Linked DNA regions of Caenorhabditis elegans. The protein of the gene in region 1 interacts with the protein of each later gene in a pairwise test. Each region holds a gene or a part of one and is shown in the gene's direction. Other genes may lie near its edges. The genes, in order: lec-1, C14F11.4, frm-1 and hpo-34.

Region 1 (4,932 bases):
ACACAAAATTTTCCTGCATCTCTCACACACGTTCTGTGCTCTTTTGTCTCTTGTTTACACGTCTGTTGTCTCTCGGACTTTATTTACGAAATGCTGCGTCTCTCCTGCCCTTCTCTCTCTCTCTCTCTATTGCGCCCAGAGACCACACTTTTATTGCCATTGTCGTCGTCGTCGTCGGAAATTTTCTCGCTTTTTCATCTTCTTCTTCTAAATAATCATGTTTTTAAAATTCAATTTTAATTTCAGGAACCACCGAAAAGCCACCACCAGCAAAAAATGTCCGCCGAAGAGCCAAAGTCCTACGTGAGTTTCGTTTCTAACGGTGTTGTAACAACAACAAAAAAGAAAAGAATAGAAAAAAAACCGTATCAGTACGGGGGTGATGAAAGTGCGGCGGCGGCCCCAGTCAAGCGTAAGAAATAATGAAAAAGAAAGGACAGAAACTTTTGGAGAATTTGCCCGTTTCTGTAAGTGTCACCTCTATAGTTCACCACCGATGTTTGGACTACTACTACTACGTGTTGAATCAGAAGGAAGATCAGACGCCGCAAAAAATATATTTGTTGATAGTTGATTTCGAAATTGTAGTTCTTGACACTGATGATTGATCGTTAAGTGAACAATTTTAAAGAAACGATTTTTGCATAACGTCCAGTTTGCAGCAATTCTACAGAATCAGGTTGAAAAGCTTCGAATTTAGAAACGTCTTCAGCTAAAGTGAGACCAAAATGTTTCCATCAAAAGCTCAAAAGGCATTTTTAATCTCTTTTTTCCAGCTTGAAACAATTTCCAGTTGATCTTTAAGATGCTTACCACTCGAATTTCAAATTGCTTCTGCAGTCTTCTATGTTAAGCCGTGTCTCATCATGAATGTCCTTTCTCTTCGATGTCTTGTGCCTTCTTGAAAATCTTCCGACGAGTAGTAACCTCCTTTTTCTCGAATATAGAACAACAAATGGCAGTTTGGCAATTTGGCAATTTGGACAAAACACTAGTACACCATGAGAACCTGCCTAAGATCAATGCCACATTTTTTCTCGCCTTGGCCCTAGTTGTGCAACACCTTTTCAACGTTTGAAGCAGGGGTGGGCGGCAATTGCCGGTTTGCCGGAAATTTCAATTCCGGCAATTTTCCGATTTTCCGCAAATTTCAATTCCGGCAATTTTCCGATTTGCCGGAAATTTCAATTCCGGCAATTTGCCGATTTGCCGGAAAAAAATCGTTTGCCGCCCACCCCCTGGTTTTTGAAGTGCATTTCGAGCCTTTGAAGTTGAAGTTTGCACGTGACGCCCAGACTCGAAATGCGGTAAACAGTAATGCGAAGACGCAAATATTGAGCATGGATTTTGCTCCGAAAACTTTTGTTGTTTGAGTTTCAACAAATCATACAAAAAAAATTTCGAGCTGAAAACTGTACCAACACTCATTATCGATCTCTTCCTCTCCAGAAAGTTCCGTTCCTTTTTTCAATTTCACTGTTTTCTTCGCCTACAACGACACGATGAATCATGGCGAGAAGTCGTATGCGAGAGACTGTACGAGAAGTCGGAGACACAGACAGATGCACAAAAAGAAACATTTCAATGTCGCCTCGCGCACATGCTGTCACCCTCCCATAATTCCATGCTCTCTCTGACTCAATATTGGGCGGCGCTTGCGAATGTTATGACTGTTCAACTGTCTGGTTTCTCTCTCCTCTCACACTCTCAGCTTTTGTTGAAACTGTTTACCGGTCGTCAGTTCTTCGTTTGACTCGCGTCCTGAACGATCGCTTTCAGTTTTCCTCAGCTCAACTCTTTACACTAATGTCTTCCACTCCTCAATTCCTTCGCTGGTACGAGCAGAACAAGGTAAAGCATGCCTCTATACATGGGGGTGTCAGGCTGTCCCATGTTTGATCTACAAAAAAAAGCGGGAATTTTTTCTCCTGCAACTTTTCGGAGATCAAACTGACATGGGACATTCTGACACCAGCTCGAAAATGGAGAGCATTCCAAGTTTGTTGGTTGCCACTAAAGTGACACATTCCTCTCGTTATCTGCTCGCCCACACCTTCGGTTCCATTATCAACATTCGAGATTCCCGCCATATTTCTGGTGTGTTTGCTCGGCGGCACATCACAACAAAATTTTGTGCAAAATGGAGCAAAATGGAGCTAAAAAATAGAAAGCAACTAGACAATGTAGAAAAGGCATTTTTTGTCGTCGTCAGCTGTATGAAAGTCTGGGGAGCGCGAAGATTGGTGGATGCAGATTGGATAACAGCTCTTCCGCTTTTTCGGGTCTCGCTTCTTGCTCGCTTATTCTGTTCACCAGTGTGTGACACGCGAGGTCCCCCCCCCCCCCCAGCATATATTTCTACATGATTACCCTACTGAACATTTTAAAATGGCATATGGAAGAAGAAATGGTTCTAGAAAACTCTACTTATAAATCTATTACCGAAACACAAAATTCTGAGAATGCGTATCGCGCGACATATTTGACGCGCAAAATATCTCGTAGCGAAAACTACAGTAGTTCATTGTTCATTACATGACTACTGTAGCGCTTGTGTGTCGATTTACGGCATTTCACAAGCGCTACAGTAGGCATTTAAGGAGTTACTGTAGTTTTCGCTACGAGATATTTTGCGCGTCAAATATGTTGTGCAGTACGCATTATCAGAAAAATGTGTTCCCGTAATAATCCAATTAATTTTTTAAAAAATTAAAATTTTTAAATTTTTCAGCCAGTACCATACCGCTCAGTGCTCCAGGAGAAGTTCGAGCCCGGACAGACGCTCATCGTCAAGGGATCGACGATCGACGAGTCGCAACGCTTCACCATCAACCTTCACTCGAAGACCGCGGATTTCTCCGGAAACGATGTGCCACTCCACGTCTCTGTCCGCTTCGATGAGGGCAAAATTGTGCTCAACTCGTTCTCGAATGGAGAATGGGGAAAGGAAGAGCGCAAGTCGAACCCAATCAAGAAGGGAGACTCGTTCGACATTCGCATCCGTGCTCACGACGATCGCTTCCAGATCATCGTCGACCACAAGGAGTTCAAGGACTACGAGCACCGTCTGCCACTCTCCTCAATCTCTCACCTCTCGATTGACGGAGATCTCTACTTGAACCACGTTCACTGGGGAGGAAAGTACTACCCAGTACCATACGAGAGCGGACTCGCCAACGGACTTCCAGTCGGAAAGAGCCTCCTCGTCTTTGGAACCGTTGAGAAGAAGGCCAAGCGCTTCCACGTCAACCTTCTCCGCAAGAATGGAGACATCTCGTTCCACTTCAACCCACGTTTCGATGAGAAGGTAAGGGTTGATATATGCCACGAGGCACCACAGAAAGGAGAACCACGACAAAGGAGAACAGGAACCACGTCCATTTTTCCGTGCCGCGAGAGGCACCACATTTTCAGGATCTGGAACCGTACCAACTGCGGTTTTTGCAGTTTTCTCTCGATGAAAAACGAAACAACGATGCTCCGATGTTATGCGTGTTGTTTAGCGTTTTCCAAAAGTTTTTATTTCAAAAAAACATTATTCTGAACGCTAAACAACACGCGACGCGTCATATCGGAGTATCGTTGTTTCGTTTTTCAGCGAGAGAAAACTGCAAAAACCGCAGTTGGCACGGTGCCCCAGATCCTGAAAACGTGGTGCCTCAAAATTTGCGGAAAACTTGCGGCACGGAAAAATGGGTGTGGTTTCTGTGTTCTCCTTGTTCACCTGTTCTCCTTTCTGTGGTGCCTCACACACACATACACAAAAAGACCCGCATTTTGTTTGCTACATTTGGGCAAATATGGCGCTCTTCAACAAACAATTTTATGAGACACAAAAGTTTTGCATGTGTCTATTTCTATTGGTAAAATTGGTGAAAGGACAAAAAAAAATCGATTTCAATAGAAATTTGACCAAATTCTTTATTTCCTTTCTTCCAGCACGTCATCCGCAACTCTCTTGCCGCCAACGAATGGGGAAATGAGGAGCGCGAGGGAAAGAACCCATTCGAGAAGGGAGTCGGCTTCGACTTGGTCATCCAAAACGAGGAGTACGCGTTCCAGGTGTTCGTCAACGGAGAACGCTACATCTCGTTCGCTCACCGCGCCGATCCACACGACATTGCCGGGCTTCAGATCTCTGGAGACATTGAGCTGTCTGGAATTCAAATCCAATAAATTATGTATTGATATCCCCTGTTCCCCCTCTTTCTTCTGTTATCCAGCTCTCCCATTTCTCTCTCTCTCACTGATCAATCTTCCAAAAGTCTACTGCCCCTCTCCCCCCCCCCCCCCCCCAAAAAGAATCATTTCTCTATTATTTCGCACCGGCAACTGAACTGTAATCCCGCGTTTTTCTTTTTGTATCTTTTCTCACCCCCCACATTGTATTTTAATAAAATTGGATAGCAGATTTTCTCGTTGTCATTTCAGGTTTCATATTTTGAAAGCGGATCATCATGAAAAGTTCTGCGAAAAAAACGCGAAAAGTAAGCGAAAACTCGAAAAAACTATATTTGAAAGTACCGCCGTTTTTGTCCAGGAGAGCGCGTTTTCCTCGAGTCACTACAAATTGCACGGAAGTCGAATCGTGAAAACCGCGCGTGTTTCCCATCAGGTTTGCCTACAAAATTTAGTTTTCTTCTTATTGTTAAATCAATAATTATTATAATGTATAATGTGAAGCTCGAAATCTTGAATAATCCTGAATAATCCTGCTATAAACTCGGGTTTCTAAAGTTTTCCTCAGGATTTTTGTTCCCTGGAATGCGTGGTGTCTCCCATTTTTTTTTGGATTTTTGGATTTAAATGCATTTTTCGCTGTTTTTTCTCTCAAATAAGCCGGAAAAATTGAAAATTTTCAGTTTCCGATGAGCGCCGACACGTCGGCTCGTCTTCTTCAGCTTGACCCTCTACTCGAAGCGAAAAATCCGA
Region 2 (4,549 bases), on another chromosome or scaffold:
GTTGGTGGAAGGATTGGCCAACCGATTGGCCCCGTATGGACGCCGTCATGCCAAGAGTAATAATTCAAATCGCATGAACAGAAACACATCGAAACTTTTTTGCAGTTTTCCAGTCAACTTGATCGCATGGATCGCAACTGGAGGAGTGATCCATACTGGATGAATCTCTACCCAAGATGGGCTGAGCCAATCTTCAAGGAGGGAATTGACGTAAACTCCAATGTGGTTAATGATGATCGTAGATTTGCCGTTGACATGGATTGCTATCAATTCCGTCCTGAAGAAATTCAAGTGAAAACTCTTGATGATACTCTGATGATTGAGGGAAGACATGAGGATATTCGTGATAAAGATAACTTCACCAAAATGTACTTTGTCAGAAAGTACCAACTTCCAAGAGACGTAGACTTCAACTCGATTCAAAGTAGTATTGATGCCAAAGGACGTCTTCAAGTTGAGGCTGGAAAATTCAACAACATGGCATTGCAAGGTCGCGAGCGTATGATCCCAATCGAAGGAGCCGGGCACCATTCACCAAGATTTGAAAATGGAACACTCCGTTCGCAACGAGGACCAAACTCGCCAATTCATGTCCAGACTGAGCACGACGGGAGGAGCGTGTCTAGCAGAAGTGGATCGCGATTGAATGATAGTCCAGGATCGAGAGACGTGTATTCTTCTCATTCTTACAGGTAATCCTACAGATAATGATAGTGAGTATCTGAAAATAAAAATTTTCAGCTACCACCGCAGCGACTCTCGCAATCGTCTCTCCCCAAATGATGTTAACATCACTAGAAATGACAACCGAACATATAGCCCAGTCACTCCTCGTATCACAACAAGTGGTAAGTTTTTGAAAATACATAGTTAATTCAAATTTTCCAACTTTCCAAAACACTGCTTTCTGTCGTGTTCTCTTTCCACATTTCATTTTTCTTTCTATTTCTCTTTTCTATCTAGATCCCATAATTACCTTCAGAGCGGACAGTAACACCGGAACAGCGGTCGCCGGGTCGAAAAGCGTTCGAAACCATTCGAAACAATTTTGAGCGAGGTCATTTTTGCAATTTCGCACATCGCGTTTCTCTTTTTTAGTTAATTTACACACATTTCACACGAATTACTTCCCACTTCCCTCATCACAATTAGAGTAAACTTCCAACAGTTTACTGACAATACTTTGGATTTTCTCATCAATCACAAATTAACTACAACATTAACATGTTGCGCCTTTGGTCAAAAATGATCGTTAATGACACATTATTTGTTGAAAACTTGGATTTTGAAAATTCGAAAGTTTTAAAATTGGAATTTTAGGGTCATATAATACTGCTGGAAATGCAAATCTTCACGAGGAGCGTTCAAGCTCTCGCGCTCAGTCTCATCGCTCAGAAAGTCGCAATGGAGGTGAGTTTTCGCTATACATTGAGGGTTCTTCAATCAACTGAAGTGGTAAAATTTTTCAGGATACCGGGTCGAGTCACCAGTGAGCACTACAACTGGAATTCTTCGTAATGGAAACTCGGACTCACCAAACTCAACTCAACGCGAGTACCGATCAATTCAAATTCTCCGCAAGACATATTAATTGGACCAAAAACCTTATGCTTTTACTCATACCCGTTCTCCTTCAAAACTTCACAAAATTCTGCCTACAGCTTTTAAAACAAAACAATATATTTTCTGATGCTTCCATATACTCTATTCACAGCTTTTCCACTTTCAAATGTACACCTACTATTATACATAAACATTTATGCTTTTTGTTTACTAATTTTTAGTACGATTTTGTTGGTTTCAAATCTAGAACTTGAGGTGAGAAAAATATGATGATATAGAAAAGATGAAAAGAAAAATGATGGAGCCACAAAAAAAAACAACAAAATACAATCATTTCTCACTTTGATAATACAATCCATTCGACGCTTCTTTTCTATCGATCATGTCCCGTTATCCACCGCTGGTCACCAAAAAAGAAATCATCTACCGGCGTTTTATTGATGATGTGAGTTTAGTCTTAAAAACTAAAGAAGTTATTATTAAAATCGAATTAAAAACAACGATAATTTTCAGATATATATATATATATATATATATATATATTTAAAATGCAATTTAGAATAATAACTTTTTGATAATTGATTGCAAAAATTAAATTTTGACGAAAATTCTAAAACTCCAGTTATTCAAAGTACCAGAAACAATTTTTATTTGTAGCATAATGAACGTTTCGACAATATCGTGAGAAACCCTACATCATATCCTCCAAGAGCTCCAAAACCAGAACGTCCGCAAAATTTGGTTGTAAGTCACAACTATCACTCTGACGTGGAAGCTGAGGTGAGCATTACTCTGCAAAAAATTTGTTTCAACATTTTTGTTTCAGTACCAACTCTCAAAAATCAACAAAAAGTTGGATCGTATTATTGAAATTCTTCGGAGCCCATCGACCAAGGTATGTGCACAAACACAGTTGTATTGTTCTTGCACTAAACCGTCCGAAATGCTTACTTTTTATTCTTTCTTTCTTCTTTTTTTGAAACTTTTCATTCAGAAAACTTCCCAAGAGCCTCCAATCATTGACGTCGCACGCCAGGAGCAAACACGTCAATACAAGGATATTTGCGATAGGCTCGACAAATTGGAGGCTGAGTTAACTGTAAACATACATTGGAAAACAAACCAGAATACCAGATGTTTTAGGGTAAAACTCAGTTTGTTGCGCCTCTCCAAAATGAAATTTCATTATTGACAAATAAAGTTCACGAATTGGCCCAAATACAAGAGGGTTTAAGAGTGAAGCTAGTTTCGAGCAACATTGCAGGAGAAGACATCGATGAACTTTTGGTATGAAAGATGTTAAAAGGAAATCTTCAAAAAAAAACTTTTTTTCAGAAAGTCATCAATGAGACCAGAAGAGATATGGAAGAGAAAATTGGGAATATCAAGCAACTGAGTGACGGAAATTACATTCACCTGGAAGATAAAGTATGCCAAATCATATAGAACCCAACCATAAAACTTGTTTCCAGCTTGATGGATATCTTCGCAACCAGCATGGCATTCAACTCCAGGTAGACCATCTAATGCAGCTTCTGACTCATAGCTCTCGTCCGGCATCTGCTATTGGCTCAAGACCCGGTTCAGCTGCGGAAAAGATGAGGTAAATGATTGAATATATGCATTTATATGTACATATAGGTAACTCCTTATCTATAAAAAAGTTGATTTTATTTAAATTCCAAAATCCATATGTCGCATACCTCTGATCACCACCATGACACAAAATGTTTTTAGTAGTGTTTCCCGCTCATCGTCAAAAAGTTCAAACTTGAAAGCCAACCTTGTCATGCCAACTCGTCGTTCTCCACCACCGAAAACCCCAAGTGAAGCTAGCTACGCATCGACTCGCCCAAAAACTGAGCGTTCGTCATCTCACAAATCGGCAAGCACGGTCACATCATCTGCAACTATCACAACATTGGACAGTGCCAAAAGAAAGCCTCTCGCAAAAAATGCTTCACCAAAGCCACCAAGAAGTCCGGTGTTAGAAGTTTTGGAAAGAACAAAAAGTATTGAAACTATGAGTAAGTTTGAATTTTTTTAAATTTAGTTAAAGAGTTTAGAATAATTTATTTAAACCATTTCCAGATGAAATTCACACTTCTCAAAAGCTCGACGAATTGGCCATCGAAACATCATCTTCTGGCAGTTACATCGCTCCTCTACCCATCAACGGACGTCGTGATTCTCAACCAGCTAACATTTTGCTAACGCAGAAATATTAGGATATTAAATAATGATTGTTTTTTGCAAATGCTTTGGGATATGGGGTATTTCAATCAATTTTTCTAACCTCCGATAACTTTATTTTTTGTCGTCACAACTATATATTGACGCATGCTAGCTTCACATTATACACATGAATTGTCATCATTGCATAGCTACCGTAATATTGAATTCTAATTTTAAAGCTAATGAAGAAAATCAAACGACGCGTTAAATGAAATAGGGCGCACCAAAAAACAAGGGTCGAGTCAGAGTGAACTTTGCTCACAAAATTGGAAAATTCGGGAGCAGAATCAGTTTGAGACTGGCGGGACCTTTCGGAAGAAAAGGCGGTGCAAACATTGAGGTCATCATTCTAGAAAGCGTTTCTTTCGAAAAAAAGTCACAAGAAGACAACTCATTGTCAATTCTCGTAAAAAACAACATGCCACCACCATCATCACATTCAAACATTTTTCATTCGACGTTCAAGCACACCGTTAAAGAAACAATGGCAAATGGTAGGTCATAAATGTGCCCCTTGGCTACAGAGTTATAGACATACTTCTTGAAGTATAATATGTTCCTCGGCCATGCAATATTGGAACAGTGTTGAATTTCATTATTTTGTTTTCCTGAAATCACTTGTTTCATAATAGTTTGCCAATATAACGCTCTGATGTATTCTGGTAGTACCATAAGTAGGAACAGTTCCGAATGTGAGTTTTAAAATAAAAAATCGCAGACAACATTAACGTGAAAAACACTTCCAATCAAG
Region 3 (4,643 bases), on another chromosome or scaffold:
TGTTCTCTCTCTTCTTTGCTATTGCGAAAAATTGTCTCATTGCAACACCTCTCTCGCCTTCATCTTTTCTGCCTCCGAATTCCCACTACTGTGATTGACTGAGATGAAAAGAATAGAATGAAACAGTGTAATAAACTAAACGTTTTTGTTTTTTTTTTCTGCTGTTTTGTGGCCAACACAACGCCTGTTGGTTTCGTCTTCTTCATCCTGATGGCGGTGGCGAGAATAAGAGAGGAGAGCAACAAATAGCACAGAAATAGCAACAGTTGTGTGTGCACCTCTGCTATCAATTGAAGCTCTCCGTAAGCATTATTTTTTGCTGTTTTGATATATTGGAATTCTTTTGAAACTATGTGAACAATTTTTTATTGTGATATTTGCCAATAATGTGTATTTTGGGTCTTGTAGCGACCAACATGACTGACAATGAGAAAATTACTCTATCGAAAACTTCTAATTAAAAATACTAATCGTGATTTCACTTTATCAAGTTCACAAGCTTTTTAGAAACGTGTAATAAACGCCTCAAGAATGTATTCGGTTGGGTCTCGCCACGATAAAAAATTGTGGTAGCAATTTTCTATTTATTCGGGATTTCGTGAGCAATTTTTGTAATCATCACTTTAATTTTTTCTCGATGTTTTCCTATTTTTTCCTGAACTAAAAAATACGAATTACTTATTGAAAAGCTAACGAAAATCAAGGAAAATCGTTAAAAACTAATAAATTCCTGAAAAAAATAAAAATTTCCACCATAAACGTTTTCGTCGCGGCGAGACCCACTCGAACATAACTATGCGCCTTTAAGTTTACTGTAGACAAATTTTGTCCGTTTTTTCGATGTTTTCCTCTATTTTTTTCTATTTTCCTACCATTTATTGTATTTTAATTAAAAAGTAATTAAAAAGCTAAAAAATTAACTTATTCCCTGCAAACTTTCGACACGAAATCTTCATTTCTCAAAAATTAGTGTTATTCGCGCTGCGAATCCACATTTTCCACTTTTTCACGTTCTCTGGCATTTATAAATTTGTTTTTGTTTTTCAGAAGATAAAAACGTAAAAATTCACGTTATAAATTCCCATTAAAATCGTCAAAGCCAAAATTTTGAATTCGTATTTATTTCTAGTAAAAAAAAAGTATTCTTCAACTTTGAATGTAAATTTAGTTAACTCTTCCACTGTTTTTCTCCAATACTCTTTCTTTTTTCATTTCCACCTTCAAATGATCCTAATATTTCATGTTTTCTCACCACAATCTGCGGGTACCGGAGAAAAGGTGTAATTTTTCTTTATTGTCCTTCTCTACTATGCCTCCCAGAATTTATTGCGTTTTTTATGCCGGGCATTGGCTACTTTTTCTCCCAACAACACCAATTCATCCCTTCTGTCTTTTTTTTTCGCAGAAAAACAGAACAAAATGTGGCATTTCGAATAGAGCGCGTTTGCATTACTCCCCCCCCTCCTCCCTGTCGGCCGGGCAATTCAAATTTTAACACTTTCTTTTGCTCTATAAACTTTTAAAACTTCTATTTTCAATGAAAGTTGCAGTTTTTTTTCTAATTTTTATTAATTTCCTCCACATTTCAGAGCAAATGGGTACCGATAGAGATCCCGGAGACCAGAAACACCCAACGACTAGCCAGCAGCCACGAGATTCGAAAATGCAGTTGGCAAAAGTTCTTCTTCCCGACGGAGTTCAAAAGGAGTTTGAGGTTAATGTAAGTTTTTGAAGAATTTCACCGGAAAAACTGCTAAATTCTAAATTTTTACAGAAAAACTCGGAAGGAGAAGCACTTTTCCGACAAGTGACACGAGATCTATCGATTGAGGAACGCGAATACTTCTCGCTGTGCTTCTACGACAAAGATGAGGGAACACGACATTGGCTATATAATGATAAGAATATTGCGAAACAGATTAAAGGTAAAAATGAGAAAAAAAAGAAAATTTTGGTTAAAAATGTGGATTTTCTTCACAAAAAGCTAATTTCCCCCGCTTTTTCAAAAAAAAAAAACTGCCTTGAAATTTTTGGAAAGCTGTTTCAAGTAAATAAAAATATTTCTCTTATTCGGAAAAGAAATTGAATCGATTTCATGTCCAAAGTTGTATTAATTTTCCTTTTTTTTTGTAAATTCCCTGATGAATTACAAGAATCTAGGAATATTATCCTTAAAAATATAATAAAAAACTCTAACCCGCGGCCACGTGTCGATTTACGCAGCTCGTGTATTCCTCGAAGAAAAATAGTTTTTCTACATTTTTCGCAAAGTTTTCTCAAATCTTCTGTGTATTTCAAAGAAAATCGAAAAATCTGATAATTTTAATTTTGAAATCGAGTCTTTTTTAAAAGTTTACTGATTTTTTATAGAGCGAAAGCGGAAAATATTGAAAGTTGGAATTTTTGTTTCAAAAAAAAAAATTAGTCTGAAAAACATCGAAATCTCGAACAATTTTCAACCAAAAACTGCGTAAATCAACACATGGCCGTGTAAGAGGTTTCCCGCGGCCACCTATTTCATTTTCTTTTTTAAATCAATTTTTCAACCAACTGTCAAATTTTGCAGGTCTTCCTTGGGAATTCTCGTTCGAGGTCAAATTCTACCCGACCACACCTACAACGATCGTCGACGATCACGCTCGCTACTACGTCTTCCTTCAACTCAGACGTGATCTCCTCACCGGACGTCTTCCAGCTACTGCCGACACACATTCTCTTCTCGGATCGTTTGTCGCTCAAATCGAGTTCGGTGATGCTCCAGCAGAGATGACGGATGCCTACGAGCAGTTCATTGTGGCGTCCAAGCTGGTGCCATCAGCACAAGCGAATCCGGAAACATACAAGAAGATTGTCGATTTGCACAGAGAGATGCGCGGACAGACGCCTTCTGAAGCTGAAAATCAATTTTTGGATCACTGCAAGCACCTGGCTCTCTACGGAATCCACCTTTTCAAGGCAATCTCCGTATGTTTTTCGACAAAAAAAGGTTCCTGCTCGAGTACTCCACTAGGAAAATATTTTTTCTTAAATTAACATCTAAACTTCTATCATTTTCTTCTTTTAGTGCTCATTCTTCAAGTCCTTAATTTTGAAGAAATATTTTTAGTGGTTTATGAAAAAAATAGTAGTATTTACTTTTGTCTAAAATAATTAATTTGTTAAGTATTCTCTTTCAATTTATCAGCTTGGTGATTTTTAAGCTAATTTTGAAATTTCCGCCAATTTCTTGAGGGTGATCAAATTTTATTCACTGAAAAGTGTTTGGCAAATTGAAAAACGGTGTTTTAACTTAAAAATAAAAAGAAAATCAGGAAAACTGGTAAATTTAGCCAGTCAACGCATTGGATGTTTGAATCGAATTATTATTAAATTTGAATGAAAATTTGTCATATTCGGTCATTAGGGTTTTCTGTCACTTAAAGCACAAAATGTTTTGACTCTGTTCCACCTGTAAAGGAGTAAAAACTATTCGAAAATGCCCAAATTAGCTTTGTTTTTATAATTATAAAATATCTTTCAGGATAAGGACAAGAAGCCTGTGGACGTTGGAATCGGTGCCGCCGGAATAAACATTTACCAAGACGAGCAAAAGACGCATTCCTTCAGCTGGCAGAATATTATCAAAATCGGATATCGTCGTACTTACTTCTCGATAAAGCTCAAGGCAGGGACTGTCGAGAAGAATGAGAAGACATTGTACTTCAAGTTGCCAAACCATGTCGCCGCAAAGAGGACTTGGAAGTGTGCAGTCGAACATCACACTTTCTTTAGGTAATTTTTGAGAATAACTTATCTCAAAAACTGAATTTCTAAAAGAGAAGTTTAAAAAATACGTGAAGATTGCCTAAAATTATCTAAAAATTTCGGATTTTTCATCTTGCAGGAGTCGAAAAATAATTTTTGTTCTAATTTTCGAATTCCTGCTCGATGGATCAATTTTTTTTCAACTGTTTAACTGAAATTGATTTTTGTTTTGTTGAATTGTCGAACATGCTTTTCCAAAATTACGATTAAATAATTATCTCTGTCGTTTAAATTTAATTTCGACGGGTCTGAAAAAATTATTTCTTAAAATTAAATAAAATCTTTAATTTCAGACTGATCCAACCTGAAGACAAGACACATAAATCATTCTTCAACTTTGGCTCCCAGCGGTTCCGCTATCAAGGACGCACTCAATTCCAGACAAAGATTGCCTCGCAGATGTTTGATAAACCATCGACAGTGGACAGAGCGCCATCTGCAATGTCTCAACCAATAGCAAGTGAGTTTTTGATTACAATAGTTGAAATACATTATTAATGAATTTACAGCAGCCGAGAATCAGAAACTTCAAACACTCAATCTCACGGATTCGGAATTGGAGCAGCGCCAATTTGAGGTTAGTTTAATTGGTTTCCAGTGTGCTTTTCTATGTTTTTGTTCTAATATTATTTTGCATGAAACGCTTTTTAGAGCGCTTTTTTGTGTTTTCTATCGCTCACATCACAATAACTGCTTTTCAAATTTTGGAGAAAAACCACCGAAAACCCCTCAAGCACAAACACAAAATTCACATGTTTCTTCTTTCTACTCAAAAATTTTCAAACTTTTCCGCTAAAACGTCAACTTTTTTCTTCATAGTTCTTCCCCTTATTCTTCTA
Region 4 (5,036 bases), on another chromosome or scaffold:
GCCAATAATGTGTAAATGCTACACTAGGAGCACTAGGAGCTCCATTTTTTCGAAAGTTATAAAATTTTTGTGCCATGCTAAAAAAAATTACAAAATCGTGAAAACTTTTTTCCAATATCCAAATTAGTAACAATTTCAGCTTGTTCTACTTTTTTTGTGATATTCAAATATTTCAGAACTATCAGGAAATGATTTAAACCCTTTTCCTACGGTTGGCGTTTTACTTACAAATACCAAATACACATTGCCATTTCCAGACACTTTTTTGATAAAGACGACCATCTTAAGAGTTGAAAGACCTGTTTTTGGTTTCATAGATGATTTTAATTAATTATTTAAAAACACTTTTGGCTTAAAACATTATTTTTTCAAGAGAGACGGAGAAAGATAAATTTCCATGGCAACATTGTCAGCGCACGAAGATTATACAACCAAGCATAGAGATTGACGAAAGATTTGTTTCCTCTATTTTTATTCACAGTTGAACAAAAATTGTGCATGTTGCTGTAGAAATGGACAGATTATGGAACTATTAGATGAAACGCAGACTGTAGAAAAATAAAAATGGCCCGAAAATAAAAATCAGTAAATATGTTTAACTGTATCTGAAACAAAAAATAAATGATATGTTGAAAAATTTGCCATTAATGTTTTATTAAACCAATTTCAGCCGTATTCTATTATGGCACGAAAAACTAATTTCCCGAGTGTTCACAGGATTGCAAGGAAAAGTTCGATGCCGACCAACAAAACATTAATTTTCGTTATAACTCAAATTCGGTAGGATATTCGAAGATTTGAACATTATTTTTCAAACATATCCATTATATCCAATTCTCGAATTTTTTGGGTATGGCATCACAAAGTCATAGTCCGTTTCTGCGTTTTTCACTGTTTGGAATTGTAACTTTAAAAATGTATCATTTTGTGTCTGATTATTTTTTGCAACTCTTAAAAATTCTTACTTACTAGTTTTGCAATGTAATAATGTGTTATACAAATTACAAATGATATCTAAATAATTATATAATTTTAAATGTATAGAAAACTTTTACTTGTCTCAACATGACAATTTTGTTAGTCAAGCTTCAGTTTCCAGTCAAATAAAACATATCACACTAACAGAAACATTTTGGATAAGTTTTTGATTTAAAATTAAATTTTTATCTTTAATTTGTCATTGTCGTTTTCTCGGGAAATATAGTGTTTATCAAAATTAGAATGTGCGTTTAACTAAAATGTAGGATTTCATCATATTTGTAATTGAGCATTTAATAAGATGTTTTCTTGTGTCTTGAAATAAATTCAGATGTATGAAAAAAACTGTATTCGTTCAGATGACTTAACGTCCTTTCAGAGCAAATATTTTCGGGTACTGGCAGACTGTAAACATTAAAAACATCGACATTCTTTTTCTCTTTGTCACTTTAGCAAATATCATCTGCTATAATTTCCACTGCAAGTGCAATGCTTGTTACCTCCCAACTGGAACACTGACAGGTTAAAAAACTATAAAACGCTTGCTTCAAACAGCATGGAATTCAGTTGGAATATAGACCCATTTCTCTCCCATAATTTTAGTTTAATTTTGAACTTATGTTTCCTTTTCTGACATTAAAATATGTTCTCATGTTCTAAGCGTGTCTAAATGGAAGTCCCCCAATAAGTCACAAAAAATTATTATGCTATCATGTAATGTGTCCGGCAAAGAATCATTTATAAATTTCTCTGCGTTTATCAAAATTAAACGTGCTCCAAAAAGTGTGCTGCGTGTCACATACTATCATACCGGTCGTTTCGAAATTGTTCTCTACCCTCACTTTCCCCTTGTCGTCGTGGTTTATCATCTTACATCAAATGGCAGTTATCATCGGCGCCGTGTTTGCCGTTTGTAGCAGAGTTAAGAGCCCGACTGCTTTTTGAAACCAATCTTCGCGTTTTACTTTTTTTCGCAACAATAATAATAATAATAATGATCTAACAACCTTTTCAAATTTAATTCTCAGCTATTTTAGGTTACCTATTGTTCGTGGATTGGAAAAAAGAACCGAAGAAAAAATGATGGAGACTAGGAATGCCAGTGATAGTAAGTATGACATTAACACATTTCCCAATTCCAGTTTTAAAAAGGTTTGATGGACCAAGTCTTTTCTGCTGTCACGCTTCCTGCTGTTGGACAAACAACTACCATCATGGAGCATCATCAAGAATCTCACACTGTTTTTCACCAAGTAAGAAAATTTTTGAACAGTTATTTTGTTGATATTAGTTATTTTATTGAATTTCAGGAGAGTCATCATGTTGAATCTCACCACGAGCATATGGAATTCTCCTCTTCTGGGGTAAGCAAATTTTTATTTACATTGTAAAGATTACTTTAACTTCAATTATAATCTGATTTTTTTTACTTCTGATTTGATAACTTATCAATTTTTTGCTCATCAAAACTGAAAATCAGTTGGTGCTCTTTGATTTCCGTGTTCGAAAAAGAATGACAGTATCGATTGATTTAAGAACAATTTTGTTGGAAAATGAACAAAAAATATTTTTTCAGGTTATCGTAGGAAACGTTGTTGGTCATGATGCCGTTATTCAACGTCGTCCAACTGTGGATACTGAAGATCAGCGGTCGGAGGTATATATTAAAATTAATCTTTCATTATTTTGAAAAAGAGCATTTATTTAGGTGTCCGCAATGTCAAAAGCCACATCAGTTTCTGTTCATTCTAGCGTTTCTCAAAAATCCGCTCAGGTATTTCAGTTCGAACAATGAAAACTATAAACGCCTTTTTCAGCACTACGATCTTCCACCTATCCCACAGTACGACATGCCTCCGATTGTTGTTGGGGAAGCTGTTGTTGGAAAGGCACCATCAGTTGCTTCTTCCAGATCAGGGTATATCTTAAGCTCACTCTACTGAAGAAATAATAAATAATTTTCACACACCTACAGGTCCCACCATTCCGTCGCTTCGCATCATTCGCATCACTCCCAACATTCCCATCATTCCGCTTTGACTCATGACAGCGAGTCGACTATTTCCGAGGGAACTCTTGTGAATGAGCCGATCGTCAGTTTTACAAAGATTAAAAAACAATTTATTCATGATTTTTCAGGTGGTCGGAGCACATGTTGCATCTGAAGCTCCAACCCCACTTGCTGTCGGACAATCATTCGAGCATGACGCAGTGATTGAGCAATTTAAAAATCTTCATGGAAGAGTAAATAAACATTTTCAAACTTAAAACACCTATAATTTCTTTTTCAGGATCAATCAGTGGTTTCCAGCATTGTTCCTGCCTCAGTTCACATTCAAAGTGACAGCGAGGACTCTATTGCTCCATCAAAGTTGACTCACTCGATTGCTGTTGTACGTTTTTAAATGACATATCAGTTAAACTGTGAATTGCTTTCAGGGAGGAGTTGTCGATTCTCACAATGGTGTCAATGTTTTGCACAGAAGTCACGAAGTTGAATTTGTGGACTTTGCTGCTCCAGCTTACTACCAACCACCATCAGTTGTCGTAAGTGTCAAGAGTTTGTGTTTTTTATTAATACAGCTTTGTTCAGGGCGCTTTTGATGCTCATAGCGAGGATTCGTTTGGTTTTGAGAAGGTGGAATATGTGGACACTCATGAGGACCATCACCACAAGTTGGAGGAACAAGTTCCGCAAGTTGTTCATGAACATGTTATTGAACAGCATTACGAGCCTTATCAAATCGTCCATGAGAACCATAATGTGTTATCGGTCGATTTCGGAGAGGATCAACACTCCATAACCCATCATGATCATGACCACCACCACCACCACCATGAATCCCATGTTACCCATACCTTCACCTCCAATGTGAAACAGTCCCGTTCTAACACTGCCTCCACTTACCAAAGTCGCCAAATGTTAGCACATAATGTTGGGCCTAAAATTACTGAGGAGTTGCGTCCGGCTGCGGTGCTGGAGGAGGAAGAGGTTGAGGTTAGGCCCCCAGTGATGGCCTACGTGGCTCCAATCCCAGTTAAGCCACCACGTACCCACGAAGAGAGTCATATCTATAACGCGTACGAAACGGAGATTCATCAGCAAAAGGATATCGTCAAGTCTACTACTGTTGTTCTGGAAGATGTCCGCTCAGGATCTGAAGGTATTCATATCCGAGCGGATAATTCTTCATCTGTTGATATTATAGGTGTTAGCTCCCTTCGCAGAAAGTTTGAGCATGGTGCTCCACCACCATTGTCGCCTGTCTTTGAAATGAAGAAGCATGAGCACCACAAGCATCTTGATCAACACCATCACCACAAACACCAAGACGTCGTCGTTGAGCAAACGCAATTCCAGGTCGGCGATAACTTCATCTCTTCTTCTTCTTCTAAAGCAATAGAGAATCATTATGACGTTCCTTTCGATTCTTATGAGATAGTTGATAAATCTGAAAACACTAAAAAATCCTCATCCTCTTACCACGCCTCCTCCTCCTACCACAAGCAAGCACCACCGCTGCCACTAGTCGATTACCATGTATATGACACGCCAACTGTTGAACATTTCTCCCATTCGCCAGCTTTCTATACTGACGATCAGCGCCACCATTATGTTCCCCAAATCAAGGTGATAACAGAGTATCGACACATCAACCCTCGTCATCATTACGTGGAAAGACAAATTAGAAAAGCTGATGGAAGTGCGATTGCACAAAGTCCGCAAGTTCAAACGATTGACTATTTTAAAGAAATCAACAGGGCTCACCATTTTGTCCCATCTACGCCACCATCGCTGTTTAACAACAAGCGAGAAAGTTTCCACCATCACAGCTTTATTCCAAACAGTTTGGAAGCTGAAAGAAAGAGTCGTAGTGTTGAAAGAGCGCACCATTATCTCCCAGATTCACCAGCGAATGTGAAAGATCAGAGAAAAATAATCAGGGAACATCATTATGTTCCTCTTGAGAAACGCTCTCAATCGTTGGATTTAAAAGTAGTTCATCCTGAACATCACTATGTTCCACTTGTCAGAAAAACAACGGAGGATCATCAAC

What was found.
Region 2: the proteins of lec-1 (region 1) and C14F11.4 interact in a two-hybrid assay, tested with the Caenorhabditis elegans proteins (2 studies listed by BioGRID).
Region 3: the proteins of lec-1 (region 1) and frm-1 interact in a two-hybrid assay, tested with the Caenorhabditis elegans proteins (2 studies listed by BioGRID).
Region 4: the proteins of lec-1 (region 1) and hpo-34 interact in a two-hybrid assay, tested with the Caenorhabditis elegans proteins (2 studies listed by BioGRID).

What each region holds. Positions count from the first base shown.
Region 1 is NC_003280.10:13,195,303-13,200,234, forward strand, and holds lec-1 (Galectin), read left to right. Parts: upstream 1-1,643; 5' UTR 1,644-1,806; coding exon 1,807-1,851; intron 1,852-2,731; coding exon 2,732-3,307; intron 3,308-3,939; coding exon 3,940-4,176; 3' UTR 4,177-4,411; downstream 4,412-4,932. Other genes in the region: btf-1 (BTAF (TBP-associated factor) homolog), read left to right, coding at 4,869-4,932. UniProt on the Caenorhabditis elegans protein: Binds galactose.
Region 2 is NC_003284.9:6,230,369-6,234,917, reverse strand, and holds C14F11.4 (AIP3 domain-containing protein), read left to right. Parts: upstream 1-1,869; 5' UTR 1,870-1,945; coding exon 1,946-2,008; intron 2,009-2,220; coding exon 2,221-2,343; intron 2,344-2,389; coding exon 2,390-2,458; intron 2,459-2,557; coding exon 2,558-2,662; intron 2,663-2,706; coding exon 2,707-2,850; intron 2,851-2,898; coding exon 2,899-2,991; intron 2,992-3,035; coding exon 3,036-3,166; intron 3,167-3,300; coding exon 3,301-3,590; intron 3,591-3,654; coding exon 3,655-3,791; 3' UTR 3,792-4,012; downstream 4,013-4,549. Other genes in the region: hsp-43 (SHSP domain-containing protein), read left to right, coding at 1-56, 106-692, 742-848, 983-1,057, 1,321-1,410, 1,470-1,591; lite-1 (High-energy light unresponsive protein 1), read left to right, coding at 4,217-4,292.
Region 3 is NC_003279.8:14,894,314-14,898,956, reverse strand, and holds the start of frm-1 (Moesin/ezrin/radixin homolog 1), read left to right. Parts: upstream 1-1,594; coding exon 1,595-1,720; intron 1,721-1,774; coding exon 1,775-1,925; intron 1,926-2,172; exon of another isoform or gene 2,173-2,394; intron 2,395-2,566; coding exon 2,567-2,964; intron 2,965-3,520; coding exon 3,521-3,771; intron 3,772-4,097; coding exon 4,098-4,264; intron 4,265-4,313; coding exon 4,314-4,381; intron 4,382-4,643.
Region 4 is NC_003284.9:11,516,040-11,521,075, reverse strand, and holds the start of hpo-34 (ZM domain-containing protein), read left to right. Parts: upstream 1-2,009; 5' UTR 2,010-2,058; coding exon 2,059-2,086; intron 2,087-2,130; coding exon 2,131-2,231; intron 2,232-2,288; coding exon 2,289-2,342; intron 2,343-2,554; coding exon 2,555-2,635; intron 2,636-2,686; coding exon 2,687-2,752; intron 2,753-2,795; coding exon 2,796-2,896; intron 2,897-2,953; coding exon 2,954-3,071; intron 3,072-3,117; coding exon 3,118-3,222; intron 3,223-3,269; coding exon 3,270-3,371; intron 3,372-3,417; coding exon 3,418-3,525; intron 3,526-3,571; coding exon 3,572-5,036.